7 linked regions of the Macaca fascicularis genome follow. The protein of the gene in region 2 interacts with the protein of the main gene of each other region in a biochemical or structural test. Links are inferred from orthologs where the notes say so. Each region holds a gene or a part of one and is shown on either strand. Other genes may lie near its edges.

Evidence for each region.
Region 1: the proteins of ATM (region 2) and RPA1 form a complex in vitro, tested with the Homo sapiens proteins (3 studies listed by BioGRID, with this or other methods). The link is inferred for Macaca fascicularis from reciprocal best matches to the Homo sapiens genes ATM and RPA1.
Region 3: of the proteins of ATM (region 2) and CHEK1, one has a biochemical effect on the other in vitro, tested with the Homo sapiens proteins (2 studies listed by BioGRID, with this or other methods). The link is inferred for Macaca fascicularis from reciprocal best matches to the Homo sapiens genes ATM and CHEK1.
Region 4: of the proteins of ATM (region 2) and ATR, one has a biochemical effect on the other in vitro, tested with the Homo sapiens proteins (2 studies listed by BioGRID, with this or other methods). The link is inferred for Macaca fascicularis from reciprocal best matches to the Homo sapiens genes ATM and ATR.
Region 5: the proteins of ATM (region 2) and MDC1 form a complex in vitro, tested with the Homo sapiens proteins (2 studies listed by BioGRID, with this or other methods). The link is inferred for Macaca fascicularis from reciprocal best matches to the Homo sapiens genes ATM and MDC1.
Region 6: of the proteins of ATM (region 2) and CREB1, one has a biochemical effect on the other in vitro, tested with the Homo sapiens proteins (2 studies listed by BioGRID). The link is inferred for Macaca fascicularis from reciprocal best matches to the Homo sapiens genes ATM and CREB1.
Region 7: of the proteins of ATM (region 2) and EIF4EBP1, one has a biochemical effect on the other in vitro, tested with the Homo sapiens proteins (2 studies listed by BioGRID, with this or other methods). The link is inferred for Macaca fascicularis from reciprocal best matches to the Homo sapiens genes ATM and EIF4EBP1.

Annotation. Positions count from the first base shown.
Region 1 is NC_088390.1:1,984,520-1,988,530, reverse strand, and holds part of RPA1 (replication protein A 70 kDa DNA-binding subunit), read right to left. Parts: intron 2,321-4,011; coding exon 2,188-2,320; intron 792-2,187; coding exon 689-791; intron 1-688. UniProt on the Homo sapiens protein: As part of the heterotrimeric replication protein A complex (RPA/RP-A), binds and stabilizes single-stranded DNA intermediates that form during DNA replication or upon DNA stress.
Region 2 is NC_088388.1:107,240,631-107,244,641, forward strand, and holds part of ATM (serine-protein kinase ATM), read left to right. Parts: intron 1-1,798; 5' UTR 1,799-1,824; coding exon 1,825-1,896; intron 1,897-1,975; coding exon 1,976-2,088; intron 2,089-3,341; coding exon 3,342-3,487; intron 3,488-4,011.
Region 3 is NC_088388.1:124,180,269-124,184,709, reverse strand, and holds the start of CHEK1 (serine/threonine-protein kinase Chk1), read right to left. Parts: upstream 3,167-4,441; 5' UTR 2,881-3,166; coding exon 2,863-2,880; intron 2,753-2,862; coding exon 2,670-2,752; intron 1,913-2,669; coding exon 1,689-1,912; intron 315-1,688; coding exon 250-314; intron 156-249; coding exon 86-155; intron 1-85. UniProt on the Homo sapiens protein: Serine/threonine-protein kinase which is required for checkpoint-mediated cell cycle arrest and activation of DNA repair in response to the presence of DNA damage or unreplicated DNA.
Region 4 is NC_088376.1:45,385,167-45,389,825, reverse strand, and holds the start of ATR (serine/threonine-protein kinase ATR), read left to right. Parts: upstream 1-1,555; 5' UTR 1,556-1,644; coding exon 1,645-1,703; intron 1,704-2,893; exon of another isoform or gene 2,894-3,097; intron 3,098-4,571; exon of another isoform or gene 4,572-4,659. UniProt on the Homo sapiens protein: Serine/threonine protein kinase which activates checkpoint signaling upon genotoxic stresses such as ionizing radiation (IR), ultraviolet light (UV), or DNA replication stalling, thereby acting as a DNA damage sensor.
Region 5 is NC_088378.1:141,947,858-141,951,868, forward strand, and holds part of MDC1 (mediator of DNA damage checkpoint protein 1), read left to right. Parts: intron 1-598; coding exon 599-1,390; intron 1,391-1,501; coding exon 1,502-1,572; intron 1,573-2,857; coding exon 2,858-4,011. UniProt on the Homo sapiens protein: Histone reader protein required for checkpoint-mediated cell cycle arrest in response to DNA damage within both the S phase and G2/M phases of the cell cycle.
Region 6 is NC_088386.1:103,524,910-103,528,920, forward strand, and holds part of CREB1 (cyclic AMP-responsive element-binding protein 1), read left to right. Parts: intron 1-13; coding exon of another isoform or gene 14-30; exon of another isoform or gene 31-36; coding exon of another isoform or gene 37-76; intron 77-878; coding exon 879-1,029; intron 1,030-4,011.
Region 7 is NC_088382.1:41,420,563-41,425,088, forward strand, and holds the start of EIF4EBP1 (eukaryotic translation initiation factor 4E-binding protein 1), read left to right. Parts: upstream 1-1,542; 5' UTR 1,543-1,604; coding exon 1,605-1,749; intron 1,750-4,526. UniProt on the Homo sapiens protein: Repressor of translation initiation that regulates EIF4E activity by preventing its assembly into the eIF4F complex: hypophosphorylated form competes with EIF4G1/EIF4G3 and strongly binds to EIF4E, leading to repress translation.

The sequences.
Region 1 (4,011 bases), on a different chromosome or scaffold from region 2:
CCTGCCACCACACCTGGCTAATTTTTGTATTTTTAGTATAAACGGGGTTTCACTATGTTAGCCAGGCTGGTCTCAAACTCCTGACCTCAAGTGATCTGCCCACCTTGGCCTCCCAAAGTGCTGGAATTACAGGCGTGAGCCACCATGCCCGGCAATTTCAGGAATTATTAATAAAACTAACAGATGAACAGCTATCAAGACTGTCATGCTTCCATGGGATAGGAATTTTGTCTCATTGTCATGGTTTGGTTTAGTTTAAATAAAGCAAATAAAGAATGTGCACAGTCAGAGCCCATTTCCCACAAAACCATTTCTGTACCAAGGGCACAACTGTGTGCCTTCTGCGGTGGCCCAAAGCTGCACTGTGCTCACAAGCAGGCATCACCTCCCGTGCTCTGACTGCACCTGCCAGCAAATCAGATGGTCTCCAGTCCCTCCTGCCCATGGGGCTACTTACACATTTAGAAAACTACTTTCTACTGCTACAAACACTGTACTTGAGATCAAAGATTTTATTTATGACCTTAACCCTCTACTCCAGACAGCATCAAAAGACAGAGGGAAAAGCACAATAACAATCATGCTTGTCTCTGGCCTACTATTATTTTTCACCTCATAGGCCCGCAGAGCTGAGCTTTTTGTTTCTCAGTGAGTCTACTACTTACTTCCCCACGTGACAAATACTCACACTTTCATCAACCAGTTCTAGAGAGAAAAGCTTCCCTTCCCCTCGGGAGTTGCTCCAGGTACGGATCTGACTTTTGTTGGTAACACGAGCACAAATAGTCCACCTACAAACCAAATCGATTATATTAGTGTTTGGAGTCTTCCTTAGAAAAGATCAAGTAAGAAATCATCTTCCTACAGCCTTTCTCGTCTTCAAACACATATTTCATTTTCCAACCTGTATTTTAATCCAGCTAATTAAAACCCCAAGATGACACATTGGTTTGACAGTTTACAGAATAAGCAAATAGTAAAACATGCAAGGTGATTTAATACTAACTCATTCTCCTGTCAAATAAGTAAATTTATAAACTCTCTCCCTTCTCCAAAAAGCATCACCAAGGCAACAATATCCCCTTAATGAAAGGTTCTAAGCTGGAAAATACAGTAACACCAGCAATTATATTTTGCCATGGTTTTCAATTATGGGAACTGATATAACTGGTGTCAAACTTCTGTCTCACTCCTAATGTACCCTGAATAGAAATCCACGATGTCGGTGGACCATCAGGGAGAACACGCCGAGGCAGCATGACCTTGCAGAGAGGCACGGAAAAAGGAGGCACAGGGCACATTAGGTACCTTACTTATAATTTCACAGGGAAAAATATCTTCCTACATTACAGAGTATTGAAGAATAAATGTAAACATATCTGGAAGGATTCTGAAAAAGGAACTCTAATTTTTAACTATTCAAATTACTTTATTTTGTGTATTTGTTTTGTGAGACAGAATTTCACTCTGTCACTCAGGCAGGAGTGCAGTGGCACGATTTCAGCTCACTGCAACCTCTGCCTCCCGCGTTCAAGTGATTCTCCTGCCTCAGCCTCCTGAGTAGCTGGGATTACAGGAGTCCGCCACCACACCTGGCTAATGTTTGTATTTTTAGTAGACACAGGGTTTCACCATGTCAGCCAGGCTGGTCTCGAACTCCCGACCTCAGGTGATCCGCCCACCTCAGCCTCCTAAAGTGCCGGGATGACAGGCATGAGCCACCGCGCCCAGCCTCAAATTAATTTTTAGTGGAAAAAGTCATATAAATGAAATATAGGCTCAGGGTATGTTAATGTGGTTAATACAAATTCTGCAGATTATCTAGCCAACTAAACCAAAGACGAAGTCACCTATTTATAGGAGAAGAGTAAACGCCTTTTGAATTATCAGAAATATTTATTTTTACTCATAAGACTACCAACTGATTAAGCATTAAATATTTTTAATTTCAAATTCTTTCAAAATGAATGAAACCTCACAGGCTATGGCAGATTGCTATTGCTATATTTTCCAACAAGAGTTAAAGGTTGCCACAATCTGTACCCCTTTCCTCCTCAGAAAAAAAAAAAGAGTAAACCCATTTTATTTGGTGGTAACCCTGAAGTTTGCGCATAAATAACTCAAGGGTCCATAACAGCTTCTACGATTCTGTAATCACACTCTGAACTTATTCTATGCATAACTCACTTGGACTGGTAAGGAGTGAGGCTGGCAATGGGCACCACTTTGGACTGTGTTCCCCCAGAAGTGTTTGACAGGCTGGGACCTCCAGCTTTTCCAAATGTCTTTGAAGCACCATAAGCCTTAGAAACAGTGGAACCTTAAAAAACAAACGCAAACAGAAAGGAGCATTATTATTCTACTTAGCTTTTTTATAGTAAGCTTTACAATAACTCTAAATGTTTGAGGTGCCGCTAGTGAAATCCTATAACACGAGAGGCAAAGCTTTTCCTTTGTAGCATGCAAGAGATACGCAGATCAAACAGAGACTGAGGCTGGAGGCTAGGAAAGCAATCTAGAACGAAGGCTGCGCACACAGACGCTCACTGTTACGTTTGCTGACGTCAGCCCCGAGGTCAAGGCAATAATGGTAATGAATCCAGACACTGTTCTTTCTGAAGGCCACCCTCTTACACACTTCTCTTGCCTCAATGGGCAAGATAACGGGTCAGAAAAAGGAAATCAACTGTCGTAACTGGTAAAACTGACGGCAAGGCACGAGTTACGTAAGAAAAAAAGCAAGAGGAAAGACAGGACGTAAAGGACGTATCACAAATCGATGGCCTCCGAATCCCCAGACAACTCCCAGATCTCCACGCGTCTAGAGGACTAAATAGTCTAGAGTGAAGTCCGTAAGAATGAGTTGAGTAAAGGGCAGGAATCAGTTCTGGTCAAGACACATAAGTGGGTGACCACTAAGACCCTTCCGCCTCCTTAATCCAAACCTGAGCAGCTGCCCGGCACCGGGAAGCCACAGGGATCAGATGCGTTCTTTTAGACGCACCACGTGTCTGCAAAACTCAACCTCCAAATTCAGAAAATATAATTTAGTTCAGTGATTTCATACCCTCTATATCAAAACATTTTTTCAGAATAGAATTTGGCTAAAAGGATCAATACACCATCTATCCAGTATTTATTTACGGAGTTTCCACAGCATGTACCACACCCTTCTAGGCACTCGTAGTAATTAGTAAAAAATATACATAGGAGTGTTCCAGGGTTAAAATTTTCTGTTCTAACGGGGGAGTCAAGAGAGATCAATACACACACAACAGTAATTACCTCAAGACTGTGTACGGAAACGCATGTCCTTTGTAGAATACATGTGTATACCCATACGTAATTTATAATTTCATAAAACACACACAAGCATCCATTCATCCAATTTATTTCATGCTGGGTAGCTTCTCCTCCGTACATATCCAGTTCATTTTCTTTCACTACATAGTTTAGGGAACATTAACTGATTTTCATTTTTTTGAGACAAGGTCTTGCTCTGTCCCCCAGGCTGGAGTGCAGTGGCATGATCTTAGCTCGCTGCAGCCTCAAATTCCTGAGCTCAAACAATCCTTCCACTTCAGCTTCTCGAGTGACTGGGGCTATAGGCGTGCACCACCATGCCCGACTGATTCTTTTAAAAAAATTTTTATAGAGATAGGATCTTACTATGTTGTCCAGGCTGGTATCAAACTCCTGGGCTAAGCAATCCTCCCTGCTCTGGCCTCCCAAAGTGCTGGGATTACAGGTGTAAGCCACTGTGCCCAGCCCAGATTTTTTTAAATGTATTTTAATATAAGGCAAAGATAGACAACCAGAAAAATAATTCTGTGGAGGGAGAGAGAGGAATAATGTACTATTTGTATATCAGCCTAAGGAAATGATTATTTACTACGTTAGAGTCTATTTCACCACCCTCTTCAAAAGTGTATGTGTGTGTGTGTGTGTATTTTTTTTTTTTTTTTTTTGAGACAGAATCTCACTCTGTTGTCCAAGCTAGAGGGCACTGGT
Region 2 (4,011 bases):
CGGGTAGTCAGCTCTTACTGAGAATATTCAAAGACAGGGCATTCATTTTGTAGGAGACATTCCTTCCTTTATAGGAAGATTGGACCTGTTCTCTTATTTCCTCCCAATTTTGAGATTTTGTGAGATTGAATCGGGACAGAAAAACATACTTGATCTTGAAAGATTAAGTAGAATTTAGATGTATGGATAGGAGAAGGACTTTACCTTTTTACATCTTGAGTTGTAAGTATGTGTAGGTATAATATACATAAATATATGTATTTTTTCTGTTTACAGACATTCATAGTCTAATAAAAAAACTTCTTTGTATCATATAAAGGTTTAGATCAGAACTAGTAAAACAGAATGCTGTTTCTTTTTTCTTTTCTATTTTAGGTTCTGGGGGTAGATGTGCGGGTTTGTTACATGGGTAAATTGCATGTTTTTGAGGCTTGGTGTACGAATGATTCTGTCACTCAGGTAGTGAGCATAGTACCTGATAAGTAGCGCTTCAAGCCATACCTCTCTCTCTTTCTGTCCCTCAAACAGTCCCCAGTGTCAGTTTTTCCCATCTTTGTGTCCATGTTGAAATACTGTTCTTATTAGATTATTTTGAAGGACATCAAAAGAGAGTTTGATTATATCAGAAGCCCCCAAAAGAAGAGAGCTACTACAGTGGAATCAAGACATAGTAAAATATAGTTGATCCTTGACATTTGCAAAGGATACCACCATAGCATAGAATTTCCTTTTAAAACAGAAATATTTTACTCCTATCGTTATGTGTTAAATAAGAGCCTTAATTACCAGTCGAGATGGAAGTGGTAGGCAAAGCTTACTAGCTCTGATAGCCTCCTACTTATCAGTTCCAAAGCATGTTTTAAGCCTTTGGCTCAGCAAAATGACACATCTCTCCAGATGAGCAAGAGTGCTTTTTTCTTTTTTTTTTTCTTTGAGACGTAGTCTTGCTCTGTCACCAGGCTGGAGTGCAGTAGTGCGATCTCTGCTCACTGCAACCTCCGCCTCCCGGGTACAAGTGATTATTCTGCCTCAGCCTCCTGAGTAGCTGGGACTACAAGCATGCACCACCATGCCCAGCCAAGAGTGCTTTTAAATAATTCATTGTCAATGTTAAATTCTTGAGTACTCATTTCCTTATTTGCCTGGCTGTTTTCTATTTATCTTTCATGTCTGAATTTAAATGTCATGTTTCTTTGGTCTCAGAGTAATAAAAAGTAAATATACTTCCCCCGTCTCCCACCCCAATGGAGTCTTCCTCTGTCGCCCAGGCTGGAGTACTGTGGCTCGATCTTTGCTCACTGAAAGCTCTGCCTCCAGGGTTCGAGCGATTCTCCTGCCTCAGCCTCCTGAGTAGCTGGGATAACAGGCGCGTGACAACAAGCCCGGCTAATTTTTGTATTTTTAGTAGAGACAGGGTTTCAACATGTTGGCCAGGCTGGTTGAACTCCTGACCTTGTGATCCTCCCACCTTGGCCTTCCAAAGTGCTGAGATTACAGGCGTGAGCCACCGCACCCAGTGTAAATTATACTTTTATTTCAATCCTGCTACCACTGCAAGCAAGGCAAACATTTTTGTGTTATAGCATTGCTTGTATAGATTTTAAGAAAATCTCATTTTAAATATGGAAATGTTAAGAAAAATTATTGTGTCTTTGATGAGAATATGCTTCTAATTGTATGGTTAAATCTATAAATATTGCAGTATAAAATAATTATATATACACATTTTTTCACACCTCTCTCTGTATATACGCATATATATACATATACATATATATACCTATATTTTTTTTTGCAGTGATGTGTATTCTGAAATTGTGAACCATGAGTCTAGCACTTAATGATCTGCTTATTTGCTGCCGTCAACTAGAACATGAGAGAGCTACAGAACGAAAGGTAGTAAATTACTTAAATTCAATTTTTCCTTGAAATAAGTGTGATTAGTAACCCATTATTATTTCCTTTTTATTTTCAGAAAGAAGTTGAGAAATTTAAGCGCCTGATTCGAGATCCTGAAACAATTATACATCTAGATCGGCATTCAGATTCCAAACAAGGAAAATATTTGAATTGGGATGCTGTTTTTAGGTATTCTATTCAAATTTATTTTACTGTCTTCATTTTTCTCTTTCATATTTATTTCTGTTGTGATATTATTTTTGTGTGTCTTAACATTTGTCTTTGTTTCCTATATATTATTATGCCTTGCATATGAATTTGGCATTTAATATTTATCCAAAACATAATTTTTAAAGCTTGTTCATATAGAAACTTAAAAATTATAAATTATTTCTTAAATAAAATGTTTTAGACATATCTCACTCAAAATTGATAGAGAATTTCTCTCATTTTAATTAGTTCACAAGACTTCAGATTAGAGAAAAAAATTATAATGTTTGGATATTACTTTCACACCTTTAAATATTGCTCTGATTATAAGTAAATGCCACGTGTTAAATTGTAATAAAACAAGTAAAAGGAAGATTGTATATGAATTTGGTTAAAAACAAAGAAAACCTCAAACAATGAAAAAACACAACAATCAGTTAAACCAACAGGGTTGATGCATTTTTACATTGAGACATCATTTTCAATCATGAAATCCATTTATAACTAGAAACAGATTGTAAGAATTAGGAAAGATGAATAAAGTATTTTAAATACTGAGAGTATTAAATAAACTAGAAATAACATTTGTTGTCACGAGGGAGTATGTATTTAGTTGTCCTTCAGTGTTTACAACAGATTCTGTTTTATTTTTAGCTCCTATTTGGTATTAGATTGTTGCAGATTTGAATGCATATAAAATGAAACATACATGCCCTTTTTCCTCTGGCTTTCTAGTTTATTTTAAATACAACAAATATAACCTGAAGATGAATACTATTTTGTATAAGCTGATCTGGTAGGTCAAATATGTACCTGGCACTCCTGGCTAGTTATGAATATCTTCTAGGCAGGCATCATTTAATGGCTAGCAACATTACCAACTGCCTAAGAAAGAAGTAGATCCAGTACAGAATAACAGAAGGAGTTGAGAGAGGATTGAGAGGGTCCTTACTAGCACTGTGAGCTTTTAATGATAAATTTAGAAAGCAGGCAGTAAAGCAGTAGTAAGTCATAGAAGATTAAGGGCTTTGCAAACCAGACATTAAATTGGTCTTACAGGCGTTAGGCCTTGAAAGAGAGATTTAATTGTTTTATTTGTTTTATTCAGCTGGTATAGTAATCTAAGCAAGGTAGTTTAAAAGTTGCTCTTTTTGATGGCATGAACAGCTTTCGAAATTATTATAATTTAAGGATTCAACGAGTTTCTGAAATTGTATTTTGTTTTCTTGAAGATTTTTACAGAAATATATTCAGAAAGAAACAGAATGTCTGAGAATAGCAAAACCAAATGTATCAGCCTCAACACAAGCTTCCAGGCAGAAAAAGATGCAGGAAATCAGTAGTTTGGTCAAATACTTCATCAAATGTGCAAACAGAAGTAAGTGATGTTATAAATTATAAATAAATGGCTTAACAGATTACTGTTGCATGAGTTTTTTTTTTTTTCAGATCATTTTAAGGACTTAACTGTTGCATAAGTTTGTTCTAAATATAATAAGATTAAAAATTGAGTGCAAATACATATAATGATTTTTATTTTTATTAAAAGGTTTTTTTGGCCGGGCACGGTGGCTCAAGCCTGTAATCCCAGCACTTTGGGAGGCCGAGACGGGCGGATCACGAGGTCAGGGGATCGAGACCATCCTGGCTAACACGGTGAAACCCCGTCTCTACTAAAAAATACAAAAAACTAGCCGGGTGCGGTGGCGGGCGCCTGTAGTCCCAACTACTCAGGAGGCTGAGGCAGGAGAATGGCGTGAACCCGGGAGGTGGAGCTTGCAGTGAGCTGAGATCCGGCCATTGCACTCCAGCCTGGGCGGCAGAGCAAGACTCCGTCTCAAAAAAAAAAAAAAAAAAAAAAAAGGTTGTTTTTTGTTTTTTTTTTTAAGGCTAGTCAAGTGA
Region 3 (4,441 bases), about 17 Mb from region 2:
ATTCCAGTAATGCAAAAGACTTGATTTTGCCTTGTATGGCTATGTTAAAATAACTTAGGTACCAGTGATAAAATGCTAAACTTACCCCTTTCATCCAACAGAAGATTTTCTGGTTTAATATCCCTGTGAGTTATTCCAATACCATGCAGATAAACCTAAGAGGGATGCAGAGGGAAACACACTAGAATTTGGTAATGTAATGTATTCATACTAATTTTAAATAAAAGGGACATGGACAACTATACCTACCACTCCTGCCATGAGTTGATGGAAGAACCTCTGAGCATCTTGTTCAGGCATGCCTATGTCTGGCTCTAAAACAAGTATGAAAGTAAGTTTATTGACTAAATATAATCAGGTAGCAACCACATAGCTTCTTAATTTGAAGCCTAGACATTTACAAATGTACTTAGGCAAAGAGAAGCAAATGCCAACAAAAGAATCAGGAGTCCACTAACACATAGAGGGCTTAACTCACATTTACCTCTGTTAGATGGCAAAAGTAGTATTACAGAAAAATTATAAAGAGAAAAACCCATATCCAAATCAAGAATGTAAGCCATGCCTTGAAAGCCCCTGCTTCCTCTTATACTAACCCTGATTCAGTAACCTTCAAATTCTCCCCTATTTCTTCTAAATGCTATGCTAATTATTTTTCTCATTCCTGAAATACAATGCCAAAGGGGAAGTCTGGGCAAATCTAAGCCAATTTCACTAAATATTTTAGAGATTATACTTCTTTCATTATTTAACTTTTTTTTAGAGATAGGGTCTTGCTCTTTCACCCAGGCTGGAGTACCCTGGCGTGAGATCATAACTCACTGTAACCTGGAACTCTTGAGCTCAAGCAATTCTCCTGCCTCCTGAGTAGCTAGGATTACAGGCATGTACCACCACACCTAGCTCAGATTTAAACTTCATATAGTCTCACAGTACAAAACCACGAATGCCTGTGAGGTCCTTCATGAAACACAGTTTCATTATGAAAATTCTTTTATCAGTTATCTTTTTATATTTTGATCTCTCTCATTAACTCCATTTCTTTTACCCTCAACTCTCTCCTGAGTCACACTGGAGATCCTAGTACCTCTTTATCAGTTTTTAACTGTTAATACAATAGCTTTAAATTATAAATTTACATCCAGATTTATTTTATGTACTTCTCAGTGTTCTGAAATATCGGTCCTTTGATTCTACATAGAATGTTTAAGTATTAATAGCAAACACAGAATTTACTTAATATACAAAAAGCAATCCTAGAAAATTCTCAATTATTTCATGTGAACCAAGAGGAAACAGCATGCTATTTTAGATCTGTAAATGTATACAATGATTTCATATAACTAGAATGTCTACAAAGAAAAAATTGTGTAGGCAATACATTGCATTTAGGATACACTGCATTTATGATGTATCATAAAACTACATTTTGTCACTCTTAAATTCTGTAAGACACCAATCTTAAACCAAAATCACTTATATAACTTGGGAAAGAAGTTTTCTTTCATTGACTCTATATATGCTTTTATGTATTAATACCAGTAGGAAAAATTTTTTAAAGATAATTTATTCCAATTTCACTGTTGCATGAGCAATTTTGAAAGGACAACGACCAAATAGCATGCCCAAGATTTAAAAAACAAATTTAAAAATTTGTTTAAAATAATTATCTTAAATTTCTTCCATACCTATTCTGTCAAAAAGCTCTCCTCCACTACAGTACTCCAGAAATAAATATTGGATATTGCCTTCTCTCCTGTGACCATAGAATTTTACTACATTTTCATGATTTAGCATTTTATTGATACAGATCTCTTTCTTAATATTTTCTGGACAGTCTACGGCACGCTTCATATCTACAATCTTCACTGCGACTGCTTCTTCAGTTACTCTATTCACAGCAAGTTGAACTCTAAAAAGGAAAAAAGTTTTAACATTATAGAATTCCATTTCTTCTAAAACTTCCAAAGATTAAACATGACGCATCCAAAACTATTTTACCTTTATTACTTTTTCCACAAAGGAGAAACCAAGGAAGTGGTTTCTGCTATGTTCTCAACAGACACTACTCCTTTCTAAAATGTGAAATACAATAGCTAACCCTCCAAACACGTCATTATGCTGTCACACAAGTCATTTAATAAACGCTTCATAAAATAGACTGAGGTAATTCTAAGCCACATCACATATATACATGTTCTACTCACATACTTTTAAGAGCATTAATCCCATATTATATGTGCTTGTGTAACTGTCCTAAGCTCCTATGGGGTAGATACTATTATTGCCACCCTGAAGGTGGTGAAGGAGAGGTACACAATGACATTAGGAAGCTTGCCTAAGATCACAAAACAATGACCAGTATGTGACAGAGCAAGGATCTGAAACCAGGCAATCTCCAGAGTCTGCTCATTAATCACGATGCTTAAACTCTGAGAAGCAATGTGTGGGCACGAAAACAGTAACTTCGTGTCCCTTCCAGCTCTTTACAAAGAAAACTTTTTTTTTTTAAGGGAAGGAAAAAATATTAATCCTAGCAAAAAGACTGTGTAACTTCAGTTGCCAAAAATCTTGGATCTCAAACATCTACTCTCTAAATCACCAGAGTATGAGACTCCAAAACAATGAATATGCACTCAGAAGACAAAGGCAAGGTTAAAAGAACTCACTCTCCATAGGCACCTTCTCCCAGGGTTTGCACCAAGTCCCAGTCTTCCACAAAGGGCACTGCCATGACTCCACCGGAGCTCGGCTGTAAAAGGCAGGAATCCAGAAAAGATGGAAAGTGAGTGTAAGATCACCTGTGAAGCCACTGCGACCCGCCTCTCCCCAGGATTCCCCACGAAAAATAACAGCTCTTGCCTTCCCCTTATATCTCATCTACATTTATCCAAGTCTTTCAACCACGAAGAACTATTCTAAACTTGGCCATTTTGTCGTGTAAATCACAATCGCCATTCCCACGCACACCGAAGGTTGAAATTCTGCCCTCCTCAGGCCTCAGAGGAAATTAATCGTTGTGGTGAAGAGGTGAGAGACAAATGCTTTCCGGTGAACGACTGGGGAAGGAGGAGGGACAGGTGGGGGTCTGGGGAAGAAAGAAAGGGGATAGAGGGAGCGGAACCGGGCAGAAGACGCCTGCGGCAGCGCCTCCTCCCAATTGCTCAGTTCCAATTCCCATCCCCATCCACACCCCCACCCGTCCCAGAGGCCGGGGCGGGGCCAAACTGCCCCGAGAGGCGGAAGGAAGGGCTGGGACCCTTCCTTGGGGTTCTTAGCTAGCAGTGTGTTAGTCCCTCCTGCCCCCTCTCTACAACGGGAATCTCCTGCTACCATTCCTCCACCCTCCGAAACCGCCCCTCCGCAGGAGTCTCTCCAATCCCCTGCGCTAGTCAATGCTAACTTTCTCCCACCGTGCCCTCCCTCGCTAATCTAGACCCCGAACTCCTTCTTTAGAAGCCTTTCCTACTCTACCGGCCGCCCCTGCTCACCGGACTGTCCTTTGCCCACCACTGCAGGAATCCAAATGCAGCGCTTTTCCCGCCAAAACTTGCTGGCGTCACGCTGCCGCAAACTCGCGCACCCGTGCCGTAAAGCAAGACAGCGCGCGTTCCCGGGTCTTGCCTCTCTGAATGTCGGCGGCTCCAAAAGACTGACGCCGAGAGGTTGCCGCTCCCGCCCAGTTGCTTTACAGTCGGGGAGAGATTCTGGCTGAATAGGTTTAAGGACGGCGGACCGCATCGGTGCGAATTGAGCTCTGGGCCCAAATATGAAGTGGCATCCGGCGTGAGGCTCGGCTGGGCGGTGCTCGAGCGCCTCTGGGTGAAGCCCAGGCCTCCATGCCGCGGGGTCGCGCGACTGTCCGCGCTGCGCTTCCAGGCGGGTCTGCGGGCTTAGCTCCTGGCCACTCTGGGCCTGAAAAGCTGCACTACCACCTGCGGGAGGCCACCGGACAGGACTGTGAGGATCACAGTCAGTGCTGCAGAGTGCTTTGTGAACTTCAGAGTGCTGTACCCGTGGTGCTGGAGCCGAGAAACTAGCAGCAGCAGCTGAGAGCTGACTGTGAAGAAATGAGAGGAACTCGGTGTTGGGAGCGAGAGGCATCGAAAGGACTGGCCACGCAGTCAAGTGTGTGTGGCGGGGGAAACTTCCCGGAGAAAGAAAGCAGTTTATTTTGGAGCTTGAAGTCGGGATAACCAGTTTTGCCTTTTTTCTGTGAACCAGCTCCAAAGCAATGCTTTAGTTCAGCCCAATCTTTTTGCAGGAAGACCATCTGCTTACCTTAGTTCTACAAAAGTTTTCATTTTTAATGTGCAAAAAACAGGCGGGGAGAGCCAAAATAAATTTTACAATGCAAATTTAAAAGCCGCGAACGTCATTTAAATAGAAAAGTAAATCTGAGGAAAGAGACTCGAGAACAAAATAGGAAAAATTGAAATAA
Region 4 (4,659 bases), on a different chromosome or scaffold from region 2:
GGACATACAGTTTCTAGCAGATGGAATGAGAACTTGTGTAGGGACTGTAACTCCCAATCCCATGTCCTTTCTACTAAAACATTCAGTGATTCATTCAACAAATGTTTACTGAATACCACCTATGTGCCAGGCACTGTTTTAGGTCCTGGGTATCTGATAGTTAACGAAATAGACAAGACCTTGCTCTCCAGGAGCTTACATTGTAACTGAAGAGAAACAATAACATAGTATGTCCGGGTGTGGTGGTTCTCACCTCTAATCCTAGTACTTTGGGAGGCCGAGGCCGAGGTGGGAGGATCGCATGAGGCCAAGAGTTTGAGACCAGCCTGGGCAACATAGCAAGACCTTGTCTCTACAAAAAATAATTAGCCAGGCGTTGTGGCATGTTTGTAGTCCCAGCTACTCAGGAAGCTGAGGCAGGAGGATCAATTGAGCCCAGGCTGAAGTGAGAGAATCGCTTGAGCCTGGGAGGTTTAGGCTGCAGTAAGCTATGATTGCAACATTCATTGCATTAGAACCTGGACAACAGAGTAAGACAATGTTTCTAACAAAAAAAAAAGAGAGCGAGAGAGAGTGTGTATATATGTTAGTCTATATGAAGCTCTTTGGTGTTATTTTGGCAAACACATGAAGGAAAAGGGGCAATGACAGAATGGCGTTCAAGGCAGAGTACAGCAAATGGAAAGTTCTTGAGGCAAGAGCATATTTGGCTGTCATTACATCACTTTTTTAAAAGATCCTGTATCAGTTAACTATCCTCATGTACCAAAGAACAAATGTAAACATACTGCATGACTTTGAGTGATTAACTACCTAACTTCGACATGTCAACAATCTCTTATAGTGATCATCTTTCCAATAAATTGAGCTAGAAAATGTGTATTGCCAAAACCCATTGCTTTACTTTAAAAATTAAATCACAGGTTGTGGATGCCCGTAATGGTGGCATTTCCACACATAGTACTGCTGCTGATTTGATGAGACAAAAATATAAACCAACCCCATTTTTAAATATTAAAGGTTGGTAGGGTCCTCAAGGAAACCTAAGAGTGACTTCAAGTTGAAAAAGAATGCTTAGAAGGAAAAAAACAGGGAGAGCCCACCTTTTGGCCTGTATCTCTCAGAAAGAGGGACAAGAGCGGTGGGAAACTGAGGAACTTTTAAAATGTGAGAGCGTTACTCTGGGGAAACCTGGAGTCTACTCTTGGCCTTTACTCGCTGTCATCGTTCTCACATTTGTGAAGCGAGAGTCTGGGCTGGCGGCCCTCAAGCCCTATTCTCCCCCGATCCGGGGATGTTGCTTCGCTGTGCCTCCCAGGCTTGAGAACAGTAGAGTCTGGCCGCTCAAAACGAAAGCTTCACGAACATTGCTCGCTGGGTGCTGAGAACGAAGGCTGACGCTACCCGGGAAATTCGACCGACGCGCGCCAGCCCGCTTGCCCCGCCCGCTAACGGCTTCCCGGCTTCCCCCGGGTCCTAAGCAGAAAATACGCAGGGCCTGGCAAACGGGGCCAGTAGCGGCTTCCGGGAGGAGTTTTGGCTTCCGCAAGGCTCCGTCGGGCGCCGCGCTCTTCCGGCAGCGGTAGCTTTGGAGACACCGGGAACCCGAGTCGGCGTGGTTGAAGAGTGCCGCGCAGCCCCAGCATGGGGGAACATGGTGTGGAGCTGGCTTCCATGATCCCCGCCTTGCGGGAGCTCGGCAGGTAGGGGTAGGCCCAGCCTGGGTCCTGCATCCTCCTCCTCCTCCGGTCCCGGCTGGGGTTTCACATGCTTTCCCCTCCCCTGCCGCGCCATGGCTGGCATCCCCTAAGTCCGCGCTGCGGCCCTTGTGGAGATGCTCCGTGGCTGATTTGGGCGCTTCTCCCTCAGAGTGCCAGTTGATAGGACATGGGGCGGTCGCCACAAACCTGCGGGAAGCCGGTCCGTAGGGGAGAGAGGCGTCTGCTGGCCCTGGTTTACCGCAGCAGCCCGTGGGTGTTAGCCCCGACCCGAGAATTAGCCCCGACCCGAGAGTTTGCTTCCTGCAGCTGGAGGGAAGAGTGCCTGATAATCGCTTTCTGGTCACTTTTCTACACTCATTTCCTTCTCGAAAATCTTTTTCCTTAGACGAGGGACTTGACCCATCAGGTTCTGTTCTTCGTGATCACTCGTGGAGGAATTGGTTTTTAGCCTTACATTTTGTCCCCAAATTGTCCTTGGAAGAAAATCACCGCTTCTTATTTTCTGCAAGTGACATCACTTGCTGGAACAGGCAATTTTTTTCTTTGAATTGAAGTCACAGTACGTACTGAAGATGTGACCTCCTTCGTATTGATCGTCCAGTTCCCGATCCGTTGTTTTAGTCAGAAATTGGAGAGATAGACCTCAGGGTCCACAAAATCTCAGCGTGCACAGAGTGTTGCCAAAATTTGGAGACGATTTAATATTTGGTTTGCAAATGCTTGTTGTCTGTAAACCTCGTGAAAACCAGTATCTTACCAAAAGAAGGAGGGAGAGGGGTTGATGGCTGCCACACCCCATCAATACACAGGCAGGCTTCCCTGAACCAGGCCTAAAGACTCGGTAGGGCTTGTTTTGTTTTGTTTAATTCTAACCTGTGAACAAGAAATAAATGAGCTCGTGGTGCTACTGCAGTTAAATTATCAGTTGGAACAACTGCTTCCCAGTTTCTTAAACTGTTTGAAAACTTCCCACACAAAGTCAAAGCTGACATTAAGCCAATGGGATAGCTACTTCTCTTTCTTTTTGCAGCGCAGTTGTGTTCATTTCCACTGGTTGGCCATCCAAATAATCTAGTTTCAATATATGAATAAGAGGATAAATGAAGGGATCATTCTTGTCCTAACTGCGTCACTATTTTTGAGTGTATGAATTTTTTCCACTTTTTATCTGCGGCAAATATACTTCGTGTCTAGTTTACAAATTAACTTCTACATCTCTAAAAGAAGATGAAGAAAAGTGATCATTGTAGGAAGGTGGTTTACAAATTTCATCTTTCAGGCTCACTGTGAAGCTCAGTATGTTTTTCCCACTTTGCTTTAAAGTAGAATTAGCTGGTTAATACTTCTCTTCCCTCTTGCGTCTTCCTCCGTGGGTCCTGTTAATAAAAATAATTGGTTCTTGGATTATATATAGTCTGTTCATCAGTAGAGCTTATGTTACCTTTCATTTATTTGTAGCTATGCCAAGAGAAAGAATAGAAAAACTGACCCATAGAGAGTTGTCTAATAGTTTTTAATTGTCATGGCTTTTTCATTAAAACTACTTGAATCAAAAAAGCTGATCCATTTTCATAGTATGTCCATGACATAGAATGGAATAAGTGTTACCACTGTTTAAGAAAAAGGGTCAGAGAAGTTGAAGAACCAAAGGCACAGCTAGCAGATACCAGAGCTAGGTTTCAGATTCAAGCTCTCAAGGCCTTTTCTTCCAAAACGTTTTCCTTTAATTGACTGTGGCAATTAGACTACTGAAAAAAAATGAGATACTAGTGTTCTAATTTATGGACTGCTCTTCCTCAGTCCCTCAGATAAATTTTGTCCTATTGTTTTTTTGCTGTTAGCACTCTGCTCTGCATAGTCTTGCCAAATGACCTTTCCACTTTCCTGCCTTCAACCATAATCTGCTATTTGATGACTCCTAATATGTTTTTCCAAATCATGTCTCCTATAGAATTGTATATTTACTGTATACTGGCAGTTTCACTGAGTGTCCTATGTGTAGTTAAGTCAGCATATCCAATACAAATTCTCCACATGTCCTAACCTTCATAAGCTTTCTTTTTTTAAATTAAAAAAAAATTTTTTTTCTCTTATTCATTGAAGTAGAGCTATCTCAGTAAATGGCACCATATTCACTTATTTCTCCAAAACAGAAATCTAGAAGTCATTCTTGACTGTTCTCCCATGTGCTTTTAGACTATGTCCTTGGCCCTCTTTTAATCTGTGCTCTCTTCCCAAGTAATCTTACCTAATCTCATTACTTTAAATGTCATCCATATGCTGATAACTCACAAATTTATATTTCTAGATCAGAGATATATATTAGGTTGCTTACTCAACATCCACACTGGGAAGTGAAAATTAACATATGCAAAGCAGAACGCCTGATTTACTGCCCTTGAATTTGTTCCTTCTCCCATGTTACTGTAAATATACCAACCAAAAGCCTAGGAGTCATCCTTGGTTTTTTCCCCTTGTCCCTTAATAATCCTTAAGTTAGTTCTGACAACTATATGTTTAAGATACATCTAGAATCTAACACTTTTCACTGTCTCCACTGCTACCACCAGAATTTTTTACCTAAAGTATTACAGTAAACTTAGTTGATCTCTCCATTTCTACTTTTACCTACTTAAAATAGATTTTCCACTCAGTGAAGTGATTTTTCATCTATTAGTCGTATTGTAAGTTTCTCCTACACAAAACCATCCTTTGACTTTCCAGCACACTTAAAATCACTATAAAATCCAAACCCCTTACCAGGCCTCTAAGGTCCTACATAATCTGTCTCAGCCTGCCTCTGACCTCATCACCTTCTGTCCCTCTTTTGCTTACTTTAGTGATACTGACCTTGTTTCTCCAGGACATCAAGGCTGTTCCTGCCTTTAATCGTTTGCTGTTCCTTCTATCTGAACACTGGATGGTTTCATTTAGATGT
Region 5 (4,011 bases), on a different chromosome or scaffold from region 2:
GTGCAGTGGTATGAGGAGAGACTATTCAGGGAACTCATATTAGGCTATGATGTTTTTCTTTTTGTTGTTGGGTTTTTTTTTCTTTTTTTTTTTTTTTTGAGACAGGGTCTCTGTCACTCAGGCTGAAGTGCAGTGGTATGATCGCAGCTCACTACAGTCTTGACTTCTGGGGTTCAAATAGTTCTTCTACCTCAACCTCCTGGGTAGCTGAGACTACAGGACTACAGGTCCCTGCCCCCACACCTGGCTAATTTTTTTGTATTTTTTGTAGAGATGGGGTTTTGCCATGTTGTTCAGGCTAGTCTCAAACTCCTGACCTCAAGCAATCCTCATGTCTTGGCCTCCCAAAGTGCTGGGATTACATGTCTGAGCCACCATGCCCGCCCAAGGCTATGACCTTTTTGAGACAAACGTTAAATGTTGTAACTACCACCCTTATTCCCAGCTTTCCTTTAATAACCTGTTGAGATTTATTATTTATGAGTTTATCTAAATCTTTTCTCATCATATTTATTATGTCAACCTGTACTTCCCTTTCCCTCCTCCTCTCCTTTTCTCTCTCTCTCTCCCTCTCTTTCTCTTCCTTCCTCCCTTCCAGGTACCCTAGATGAACCATGGGAGGTCCTGGCTACACAGCCATTCTGTCTGAGAGAGTCTGAGGACTCTGAGACCCAGCCTTTTGACACCCACCTTGAGGCCTATGGACCTTGCCTGTCTCCACCTAGGGCAATACCAGGAGACCAACATCCAGAGAGCCCAGTTCACACAGAGCCAATGGGGATTCAAGGCAGAGGGAGGCAGACTGTGGATAAAGGCATGGGTATACCAAAAGAAACAGCAGAGAGGGTGGGCCCTGAGAGAGGGCCACTGGAGAGAGAAACTGAGAAACTGCTACCGGAAAGACAGACAGATGTGACGGGAGAGGAAGAATTAGCCAGAGGGATACAGGACAGAGAACAAAAACAGTTGTTAGCTAGAGACACCCAGAGACAAGAATCTGACAAAAATGGGGAAAGTGCAAGTCCTGAAAGAGATAGGGAGAGTTTGAAGGTAGAAATTGAGACATCCAAGGAAATACAAGAGAAACAAGTACAGAAGCAGACCCTTCCAAGCAAAGCATTTGAGAGAGAAGTAGAGAGACCAGTAGCAGACAGAGAGTGTGAGCCAGCTGAGTTAGAAGAGAAGGTGCCCAAAGTGATCCTGGAGAGAGACGCACAGAGAGGGGAGCCAAAGGGAGGGAGCCAGGACCAGAAAGGGCAGGCCTCCAGCCCAACACCAGAGCCTGGGGTGGGGGCGGGGGACCTTCCGGGACCTACCTCAGCCCCCGTACCTTCTGGGAGCCAGTCAGGTGGAAGGGGATCCCCAGTGAGCCCCAGGAGGCATCAGAAAGGTAAGTGAAGGCAGAGGGGAACTCAAGGTGATACACAGGCCTCATAATAATCAACCCCTGGGCAACCAGCTGCCTGCAACTCAGCCACCTTTGTGTTTATTTTCTGTCTAGGCCTCCTGAATTGCAAGATGCCACCCACTGAGAAGGCTTCCAGGATCGGAGCTGCTGAGAAGGCTTCCAGGGTGAGAGCTGCTTTTTCTACCTCCTACTCCACAAGTCATCTCTATATCCTCTCCAACGCTCCTTCACCTAGCCTCACTTTAATCTATTCCTTTCTCATTATTCAGTTTTCTTCCATTTTTATCACTCCTTGATTGGCTTCTATTCCTTTATCCTCGGCACCCATTGTTTTCCATATCTGTTTCCCAAGTTGTATCTCCTACCTGACTCCGAAGAAAGATCCTTCGTGTTTCTTCTTTCTTTGCCCCAGCCATCCTTTTCATTACCATCATCCATGTGTGGAGAACACTATAGTAGCATTATGGAGACAGGTCCATGGGGAAAAGTAGCTTCCCAGGTATATCCCAGTCTAATGGAGGAGAGATCATAGACAGAAAGGGAAATCCAGTGAGCATATTTTTTTTTTTTTTTGAGAAAGAGTTTCGCTCTTTTTACCCAGGCTGGAGTGCAGTGGCGCGATCTCGGCTCACCGCAACCTCCACCTCCCGGGTTCAAGCGATTCTCCTGCCTCAGCCTCCCGAGTAGCTGGGATTACAGGCATGCGCCACCACCCCTGCTAATTTTGTATTTTTAGTAGAGACGGGGTTTCTCCATGTTGGTCAGGCTGGTCTTGAACTCCCAACCTTAGGTGATCCACCTGCCTCGGCTTCCCAAAGTGCTGGGATTACAAGCGTGAGCCACCGCGCCCAGCCCAGTGAGCATATTTTTTGTTTTGTTTTTGTTCTTTTTTGAGACAGAGTCTCTCTCTGTCACCCTGGCTGGAGTGTGCAGTGGCGTGATCTTGGCTCACTACAACCTCCATCTCCCGGGTTCAAGTGATTCTCCTGCTGCAGCCTCCCAAGTGGCTGGGACTACATGTGCGTGTCACCACGCCCAGCTAATTTTTATGTGTTTTTTTGAGACAGAGGCTCACTCTGTCACCCAGGCTGGAGTGCAGTGGCGCGATCTTGGCTCACTGCAACCTCTGCCTCCCAGGTTCAAGCGATTCTCCTGCCTCAGCCTCCCAAGTAGCTGGGACTACAGGTACCTGCCAACACACCCGGCTAATTTTTTTTGTATTTTTAGTAGAGACGGGGTTTCACTGTGTTGGCCAGGCTGGTCTTGAACTCCTGACCTCGTGATCCACCCACCTTGGCCTCCCAAGGTGCTGGGATTATAGCCGTGAGCCACTACGCCTGGGCGAAATCCAGTAATCCTATCTAACCATAAACAAGTATCAAGAACAGTATCCAAGTTCTATCTCTTTTCTCCACCTCCTCCCCCTCACTTGCTTCTGTTTCTCCCTAGGGCGATCAGGAATCTCCAGATGCTTGTCTGCCTCCTACAGTGCCTGAAGCCTCAGCCCCACCCCAAAAGCCCCTTAACTCTCAGAACCAGAAACATCTTGCACCTCAGCCCCTTCTTTCTCCCCTTTCACCTTCTATCGAGCCAACCATTCGTAAGACCGGGCAGGATAGGAGTCAGGAAGCTCCAGAGACTCCCTTGTCCTCAGAGCTGGAGCCTTTCCACCCAAAGCCTAAAATCATAACTCGGAAGTCCTCCAGGATGACACCCTTTCCAGCTACCTCTGCTGCCCCTGAGCCCCACCCTTCCACCTCCACAGCCCAGCCAGTCACCCCCAAGCCCACATCTCAGGCCACTAGGAGCAGGACAAATAGGTCCTCTGTCAAGACCCCTGAACCAGTTGTCCCCACAGTCCCTGAGCTCCAGCCTTCCACCTCCACAGACCAGCCTGTCACCTCTGAGCCCACATCTCAGGCTACTAGGGGAAGAAAAAATAGATCCTCTGTCAAGACCCCTGAAGCAGTTGTGCCCACAGCCCTTGAGCTCCACCCTTCCAACTCCACAGATCAACCTGTTACCCCCAAGCCCACATCTCAGGCCACTAGGAGCAGGACAAATAGGTCCTCTGTCAAGACCCCTGAAGCAGTTGTGCCCACAGCCCTTGAGCTCCACCCTTCCAACTCCACAGATCAACCTGTCACCCCCAAGCCCACATCTGAGGCCATTAGGAGCAGGACAAATAGGTCCTCTGTCAAGACCCCTGAACCAGTTGTCCCCACAGTCCCTGAGCTCCAGCCTTCCACCTCCACAGACCAGCCTGTCGCCTCTGAGCCCACATCTCAGGCTACTAGGGGAAGAAAAAATAGATCCTCTGTCAAGACCCCTGAAGCAGTTGTGCCCACAGCCCTTGAGCTCCACCCTTCCAACTCCACAGATCAACCTGTCACCCCCAAGCCCACATCTCGGACCACTAGGAGCAGGACAAATATGTCCTCTGTCAAGACCCCTGAATCAACTGTCCCTATAGCCCCTGAGCTCCCACCTTCCACCTCCACAGAGCAGCCTGTCATCACTGAGCCCACATATCAGCCTACTAGGGGAAGAAAAAATAGGTCCTCTGTCAAGACCCCTGAAACAGTTGTGGCCACAGCCCCTAA
Region 6 (4,011 bases), on a different chromosome or scaffold from region 2:
ACTTTACATGCAGGTACTCAAAAATTGTAAAGCAGGATGTCAGTGAATTTGAATTCTGAACGTCAGTTTGAAGATGGTAACATGTTTAGTATATAAATCTTTTCCACTCAAAGCATACTTTTTAATTGATATTAATAATTAATATTAATAATTTAATAAAGACCTTCAAATTTTTTAAGTAACATTAGGTTCCTTAGGAGAGCATATTATTACACTGTTTTTAGAAGCAGTTTGACAAATAGTGATTGTGTTTGTTTTTACAAATGGTGAATCAGAAAAATAAAACTTCAGTTTATTTAGTCATTATCATTTACATTAAAACAATATGTTTTCAAATAATATAATTGGCATCAGGTGATACACTTTTTCATACTTTCAGTTTTGTTTTAATTCAAAATCTATAATAGTTGACCATAATGCTTTATCTTCTTTTTCATTTTGCTATTTTATGAAAAATCATGGTCGTTTTTATGTCGTGGCAAGAGTCTACTTGAAATTTTTTAATATGAATTTACCAATATCAAAGGAAGACATTGAGGACTATACTCTATCTAGGAAGATCATCCAAGCTGTGCCCCACTTACCTTTTAGACTTAAGGTTGGTAAGCATGTTAACAACAGAATAGAACTGCATTCAAATGAAAAATAAAATACAAGATCCAGCAGACATAGGTTACTGTAATAAATACATTACATTGGGAATTATTTCTTAGTAGTGGCGCAAAGAGTGCTGATTCTTTCAACACTTTAGCCAGAATCATCTTTTCTTTTTTGTTTCCCTTTTAGTCCAGAATACATGCTTAGATTGATGATTGATACACATAATTGAATCAAGTTGCAGTGTTTCTGTCTTACACCATAATCACTGTTTCTTTCAGCTGCCTCTGGAGATGTACAGACATACCAGATTCGCACAGCACCCACTAGCACTATTGCCCCTGGAGTTGTTATGGCATCCTCCCCAGCACTTCCTACACAGCCTGCTGAAGAAGCAGCACGAAAGAGAGAGGTTCGTCTAATGAAGAACAGGTACATATACTGCATTTACTTAGATTGTTGTGGGTTAAGTGTGTCTTCACTTTCTACTGGATGTGTATCTTTACATCTACTGGTAATAGGATCTTTGCATTGGGTTTTTTTTTTTCCAGCAGAATTAATGGATCTTGCTAAACTTTATTTAATGAGCTGCATTTATAAGATAGCTATAGGATTATGGGTCAATCTTTGATCATGGAGTAGTTTTCTTTCATGCAGTTTCCCCACAGGAGATTTAATGCACAACCTTCCTATGTTTGCACTCCAACCAGCTTGCCAGGTTATTTCAAAATGGTTTCTTTTCATATATAGTATTGTTCAAGAAGATCAAGAGTTTCACATATGTATATTAACTGTGTGTTAAATTTTATCTATATTAAATTTACTTGATACAAAGTAAATGTATGGTGGCCAGTTCATGTTTTAATGAATAATATCTTTACTCAAAATAATAACATTTTAACACCTAAAGAGTCTTCAAAAATATATTCTAAGAATACCACATTATGGAAAAAAATCTTAAAATACAGTCTTCAAAAACTACTACCTTCAAAATCTACGAAATGTTGGTAAAGCAGTTCTCAGAAAGTAACTTCATTGCTATAAATGATTTTGCCATCAAAAACAATAAAAACAAGTTACTAAATATTAGTTTAGAACTTTCATATAGAAGTGACCGAGACAAACAGAAGAAAATGAAAATAGGGTATGTAAAGTTTTAAAAAGTTTGAAATTGATGAAAGTATTTCACTGTTCATCCCAGGATACTTCAAACACTGATAAAGTGAAAGAAGCAGGGCTTCCAAGTCCTAGCCCTGTCCCTCCATTTTGGGAGACAGTATTAACTTTCTATACCTCAGGTTTGCAAAATGGGATTCCAGCACACACCCAAGTATTGTTTTAAGAGTCAAGTAAGATAATTCCTTTGAAAGCACTTTGTAACTGTAGTGCTCTGTTGAAATGGGTGTGTGTGTGTGTGTCTGTGTGTGTGCAATTTCACTTACAGCTCAGATCAGCTTTTTTGTTCCTAAAATATTCTTAGCTGTCACAATGTTAGTAAATTATATCTGAACTCAGAGAAAAATCTGTCTGGCAGAGATTTTTCTCTGATATTAGAAAAAGAGTTACAACAAGCCAAGTGACTGTTTTGTTTTTTTTTTCCTCCTGAGACAATCTTGCTCTGTCGCCCAGGCTGGAGTACAGTGGCACAATCTCAGCTCACTACAACCTCTGCCTCCTGGGTTCGAGCAGTTCTCCTACCTCAGCCTCCCGAATAGCTAGGATTACAGGCGCCCACCACCACGCCTGGCTAATTTTTGTATTAGTAGAGACATGATTTCACTATTTTGGCCAGGCTGCTCTTGAACTCTTGACCTCATGAATCCACCCTTCTCAGCCTTCCAAAGTGCTGGGATTACAGGCATAAGCCATGGTGCCCAGCCCTCAAGTGACTTTTATTTGTGTTCCATCCGTCTGTGATTTTGAGTATTTAGGTTTTACTAAACAGAAGCATAAAGGCTGCATTCATAATTTAAATATATTTTAAAATATAAATTAAAATCTGTAAATAAAAATTAAAATCTTTTCAGTTTTTAAAAATGTTTATAAGGAAACTCTTTTTTGTTGTTGTTGTTTTGAGACGGAGTCTCGCTCTGTCACCCAGGCTGGAGTACAGTGGCCAGATCTCAGCTCGCTGCAAGCTCCGCCTCCCGGGTTTACGCCATTCCACTGCCTCAGCCTCCCGAGTAGCTGGGACTACAGGCGCCCGCCACCGCGCCCGGCTAATTTTTTGTATTTTTGGTAGAGACGGGGTTTCACCGTGTTAGCCCGGATGGTCTCGATCTGCTGACCTCGTGATCCGCCCGTCTCGGCCTCCCAAAGTGCTGAGATTACAGGCTTGAGCCACCGTGCCCGGCCGGTTATAAGGAAACTCTTAACTTAAAATTAGAAGCAAGTCTGATTAAGAAGTCTCAAGCAAAGGCTGAGTAGTAATATTTAAGACAACACTGCTTACTAAAGAAAACAGTTCTAAGCAAACATAGGAGCAAAATCAGAAAATAAATCCTTTTGATTATAAAACACAACAGAAGGACTTCTGTTTATGTCTATGTAGTTTGGCTCTGTGGAACAAAATGTTTCCCCCCGTTGGCCGGGTGCAGTGGCTCACGCCTGTAATCCCAGCACTTTGGGAGGCCGAAGCGGGCGGATCACAAGATCAGGAGATCGAGACCATCCTAGCTAACATGGTGAAACCCCATCTCTACTAAATACAAAAAAATTAGCCGGGCGTGGTGGCAGGCGCCTGTAGTCCCAGCTACTCTGGAGGCTGAGGCAGGAGAATGGCGTGAACCCAGGAGGCAGAGCTTGCAGTGAGCCGAGATCGCGCGCCTGCACTCCAGCCTGGGCGACAGAGCAAGACTCCATCTCAAAAAAAAAAAAAATGTTTCACTGCGTTGACTGGCAGACCAAATTTCCTTTTTCTTCTATTTATTTTTCTTTCAGATTTAGGACCACTGCCACCAACAAGTTAGGAACAGGCCACACGTAACTACAGTTGCTACCAGCCTTTGCTTGCCTGAGACTTACCATGGACTCTTTCATAACATTACTTCGCTTAGATGTAGTTACCCTACTCTTGAAAAAGGAAACTTCCTATTGATTCTGCTATAGTTCTTTTCCCCTTTCCTTACCAGATTACTGCTGCTTCTACTTTTTCAGCCTCCATTCACTGGAATCTGGCTTCTGTGACTAGCATACCCCTCATATGTCTATAAAAAGGTACAAATTCCCTCCCACTTGGCAAATCTAGTATTTTCTTTCATTTAATTTTAACTCTATGGAGTATGACACTTTCGACTTCTCATTACTCTAAACTCTTCCTTGGCTGGCTTCACCTGGTTTTCTGACTACTTTTCAAATTTTTCCTTTGAACCTTCATCCGTATCCATGTATTTCAGGCATTACTTTATATGCTGA
Region 7 (4,526 bases), on a different chromosome or scaffold from region 2:
ATTCAACAGGTCTCCCTATCTCAGGCCTTGCCCTCCTTGGCCCATCCTGAAACTCCACTGGCTACTAGTTATCTTTCAAAAAAAACAACTCAAATCATGTCATCCCCCTGCTTAAAAGATCTCTGGGCTGGACGCGGTGACTCACGCCTGTAATCCCAGCACTTTGGGAGGCCGAGGCGGGTGGATCACGAGGTTAGGAGATCGACACCAACACCATCCTGGCTAACACGGTGAAATCCCATCTCTACTAAAAATACAAAAAATTAGCTGGGCGCAGTGGCGGGCGCCTGTAGTCCCAGCTACTCGGGAGGCTGAGGCAGGAGAATGGCGTGAACCCGGGAGGCAGAGCTTGCAGTGAGCCAAGATCGCGCCACTGCACTCCAGCCTTAAAAAAAAAAAAAAAAAAAAAAAATCTCTGATCTCTCCTGCCCTTCTAAGACAAAGTCCAAGCACTTTGGCATGATTTGAAAAACTCAATGACCTGACCCCAATTTCCTTTTTAAAAAATTATTATATATTTTTTAGAGATAGGGTCTCTGTCACTAAGGGTGGAGTGCAGTGGTGTGATCACACTCACTGGAGCCTCAAACTCCTGAGCTCAAGCATCCTCCAGCTCAGCTTCCTGAGTAGTGGGGATTACAGGTGCACCACCCAATTTCCCTTTTAAACTTTCTTCACCCTCTTCCCCACAACATGTGCCCACAATGCTAAGAACTTCTCAAACCCAACAAGCTTTTCCATCCTCGGTCCTTCTTGCATTTTTCTCTCTCCCCTTGAACATCCCTCCATCCACCATCCAAGGAGTACCTACTAAATCTCAGGCAGTGGGGTGGGCGTTGGACCCAATTCAGGAGTTATCGGGAAACCTCTTTGACAAACTCTTACCCCTCTCCTACGCCCTTCCCTCTCCCCCTACCCCCGCGCCCTAGCTCTAAATTTAACTCCCAGGACGCCGCTGGTTGGTTCACTCCTCCTCCCACACCCTGTCTAAAGGCCGGGAACAGAATTGTTAGCCCCACCATCCCCACCCCCATCAAGGTCAAGAAATTGAGGCGGGGGAGGGGGTGAGCATGACCACTCAATCCCCACTTTCTCATCTGAGGAACTAAGGCACGAAACAGGGAGTGCCGGAGGGTACACCGGGCCTGATGTACTAAGGCAGAAACCGGGCCTTCCTGCAGTGGGCCGGGTCAGCTCGGATCTCCGCGCGGTCCTGAGTCGCCGCCCCCAACCCAGCCAAGGATTAATTTAGGCGAGCTATCCCGCCCACCACCCCCACCCCCATCCCTGCCAACGTGGCGGGGAGGGACACAGGACAGAGGGGCAGTCGCTGCGGGGCGGCGCCGGCGCCCGTGCGGAAGAGCCCGTGAGCAGGCGTGAGTGGGTCGGGGGGCTGCGGGGGATCCCACGTGGAAGCAACGTCCTGGAGCTGGGTGGGGCTGCGGCGCGGACTACAAATCCCAGGGGCGTGGGCGGGAGAGGCGGAAGGGGCGTCCTGGGGCGGGGCGGGACGGGGCGAGGCTGAGCGGGACCCGGCTAGGCGGAGCGAGGCTGGAGGCGCGGGAGGGCAGCGAGAGGTTCGCTGGTGCAGCGCACAGGAGACCATGTCCGGGGGCAGCAGCTGCAGCCAAACCCCAAGTCGGGCCATCCCCGCCACTCGCCGGGTGGTGCTCGGCGACGGCGTGCAGCTCCCGCCCGGGGACTACAGCACGACCCCCGGCGGCACACTCTTCAGCACCACCCCGGGAGGTAGGCGCGGGCTTGGGGACGCAGCTGGCCGGCTCCTGGGCGGGCGGGAGGATCGGGAATCGCGGATTGGACCGGGTGTCCAGGCTCAAGGGCGCTGTGACTGGAAAGAACGGAGAAGGGGCATCGGGGAGATAGCAAGGGTCATGGAAGTGGCCGCCCGTCTGCCCTCTTGAGTGCGTCGTCCAGACCCAGGTTGCAAACTGCCCCGTTCGTTTCCTCTTTCTGTTAGGTGTCAGACAGCTGACACCTAACAAACACGCACTCTTCCAGGACTGCCACATGCCGAGCTGTGCTGCCCCTTGTGGGTGTTGGGGGCGCTCCCGAGGCAGGATAGGGCGGAGTCAGGGTGGCCCACGATCCAGGAGAGGCCTGGCCTGGTGTTTTTATGGGATGGGTATTATCTGTTGGGATAAATGATTCCTGCAGGGCCCTTTTTCCTTTCCGAAGCACCCCTAGTTTTGCGTTGGACACGCGCGCTCTGACGGAGGTTTGGATGTGGGGGTGCTCTCCTGCTCCAGCAGAGCCTCCCGGGCACCTGTGGCACGTTCCCCATTTTCGCGAGTGGGATCTCCGCGGGGGGGCCGGGCGCCACGGGCAGGGCTGTGCAGAAAAACACGTTCTTCTGTCCGGGGAGAGGAGGAGGCACCGTGTGACCTCCCTGGGAGAGGATGAGGAAGAGGAAGCTGAGCTGGCACGGGTGCGGGGGTGGGGGGGCAGCCTCAGGCTGCCCTCAGGAGCCTGGCATTCCCTCCCAGCCCCGCAACCCCAGCGCACAGACGCTGATGAAACCTACGCGCCTGTTTGCATGATGAAACAAATCCTCGTGGCTCTCCACTCCCCTCCCATCCTCGTACTGCCCCCACCCCTTTGACTTCTCTCCCTTCAATCTCCTCCACGCTGCTTTCCAAACTACTCGAAAACGCGACAGATCCTGGCGCTTCACTCGGTGGCGGGCAGGGGCCACATGCTTATTTTCTCAGGCAGCTGTCCTACCAGCAGCATGCACGGCCGGATCCGAGGTCCTCAGCTATTTGATCCAAAACATACACTGTTAGAACGGTTAGGGATCTTGTCCAGCCCTGCCGCCTTATTCTACAGAGCCGGGCATTGAGGCCCCAGAGCTTGAACACGTGTCTATTGCCCATTGTCACACCGTTTTCCCAGATTGGACAAGAAATAGCAACCAGGCAGAGAAGGGAGGAATGCTTCGTTTTCTATTAGAAATGAGCCAAGGAAAAGCTCGCAGGGGCTCTTATTGCCACTCCCGACTCATCCTCTTTCCCTTGCTGGGTCTTTTGTAGTTCATGCTGTTCTCCTTTGTCCCTGTCACAATGGTCTACCAGGACAATTCCTGACAATTTTGGACTTCTTTCAACTGAGGGTGTAAGTGTCTGCTGGATTTGTTCAGGGTGGGCCCTGAGGCTGGCCTGAAGGCACAGGTAGCCCTTTTTTGCGCCTTTTATTGCTGGATTGTTGGGTCAAATTGGAAGCCACAGATACTGTTTATAGGCACTTCTGGCACGGGTACCAAGGTTCACACCTGTAATCTCAGCATTTTGGGGAGTCGAGGCAGGAGAATTGCTTGAGGCCAGGAGTTCAAGACCAGCCTGGGCAACATAGTGAGACTCCATCTCTACAAAAAAAAAAAAAAAAGATGTCCTAGCTATTACAGAGGCTGCGGCCAGAGGGTCGCTTGAGCCCAGGAGTTGGAGGCTGTAGTGAGCTATGATTGACCACTGCATTCCAGCCTGGGTGACAGAGCGAGACCCTGTCTCTAAAATAAATAATAAACATAAAATATATGAACTTTGAATCCACTTTTCACTTTGGGTTGGGAAGTGGGGAGTAGGCAGGGGGCTGACAGACCACAGCAAATCCCCCTCCTTTTGAAGGTCTTTTTTTTTTTTTTTTTTTTTTTTTTTTTTTTTTTTTTTTTTGAGACGGAGTCTCGCTCTGTCACCCAGGCTGGAGTGCAGTGGCCGGATCTCAGCTCACTGCAAGCTCCGCCTCCCGGGTTCACGCCATTCTCCTGCCTCAGCCTCCCGAGTAGCTGGGACTACAGGCGCCTGCCACCTCGCCCGGCTAAGTTTTTGTATTTTTAGTAGAGACGGGGTTTCACTGTGTTACCCAGGATGGTCTCGATCTCCTGACCTCGTGATCCGCCCGTCTCGGCCTCCCAAAGTGCTGGGATTACAGGCTTGAGCCACCGCGCCCGGCCGAAGGTCTTTAACAGTAGGGGGAGTGGGGAAGGGGCTTCTGCATCAGGGCATAGCATGTTTCTGAGATCACTGGAAGAAGCTAGCAGTGCCAGGAGCCTAAAGCCAGCTCACTCTTTGGGTCATCCAGGTACAGCTCACAGTCCCTAAGCCAGGGAAACCCGGCTTACTTCCACTAAAGTCAAGCAAGCCTGGTCGGCCTCGATTAGCCAAGGTGTGAACTCTTCCTCCAAAGCCCACCTCAGCCCACCTCTGCTAGGGCAGAGAAGCTGAAATGGTCACATCGCAGGACCCTTTTGCTCCAGAGCAGAATACTGCGTCTCAACCTTCCAGGTGCTTGAGGATAACTGGGGGCTTCATTTAAGTGCATATTCTGATTCTGTAGGTGGGGGTGGGGACTAGATTCAGCATTTCTTTCTTTTTTCTTTCTTTCTTTTTTTTTTTTTTTTTTTGAGAAGGGTCTCACTCTGTCACCTGGGCTGGAGTGCAATGGCATGATCTCAGCTCACAGCAACCTCCACCTCCCGGGGTCAAGCGATCCTCCCACCTCAGCCTCCCCAA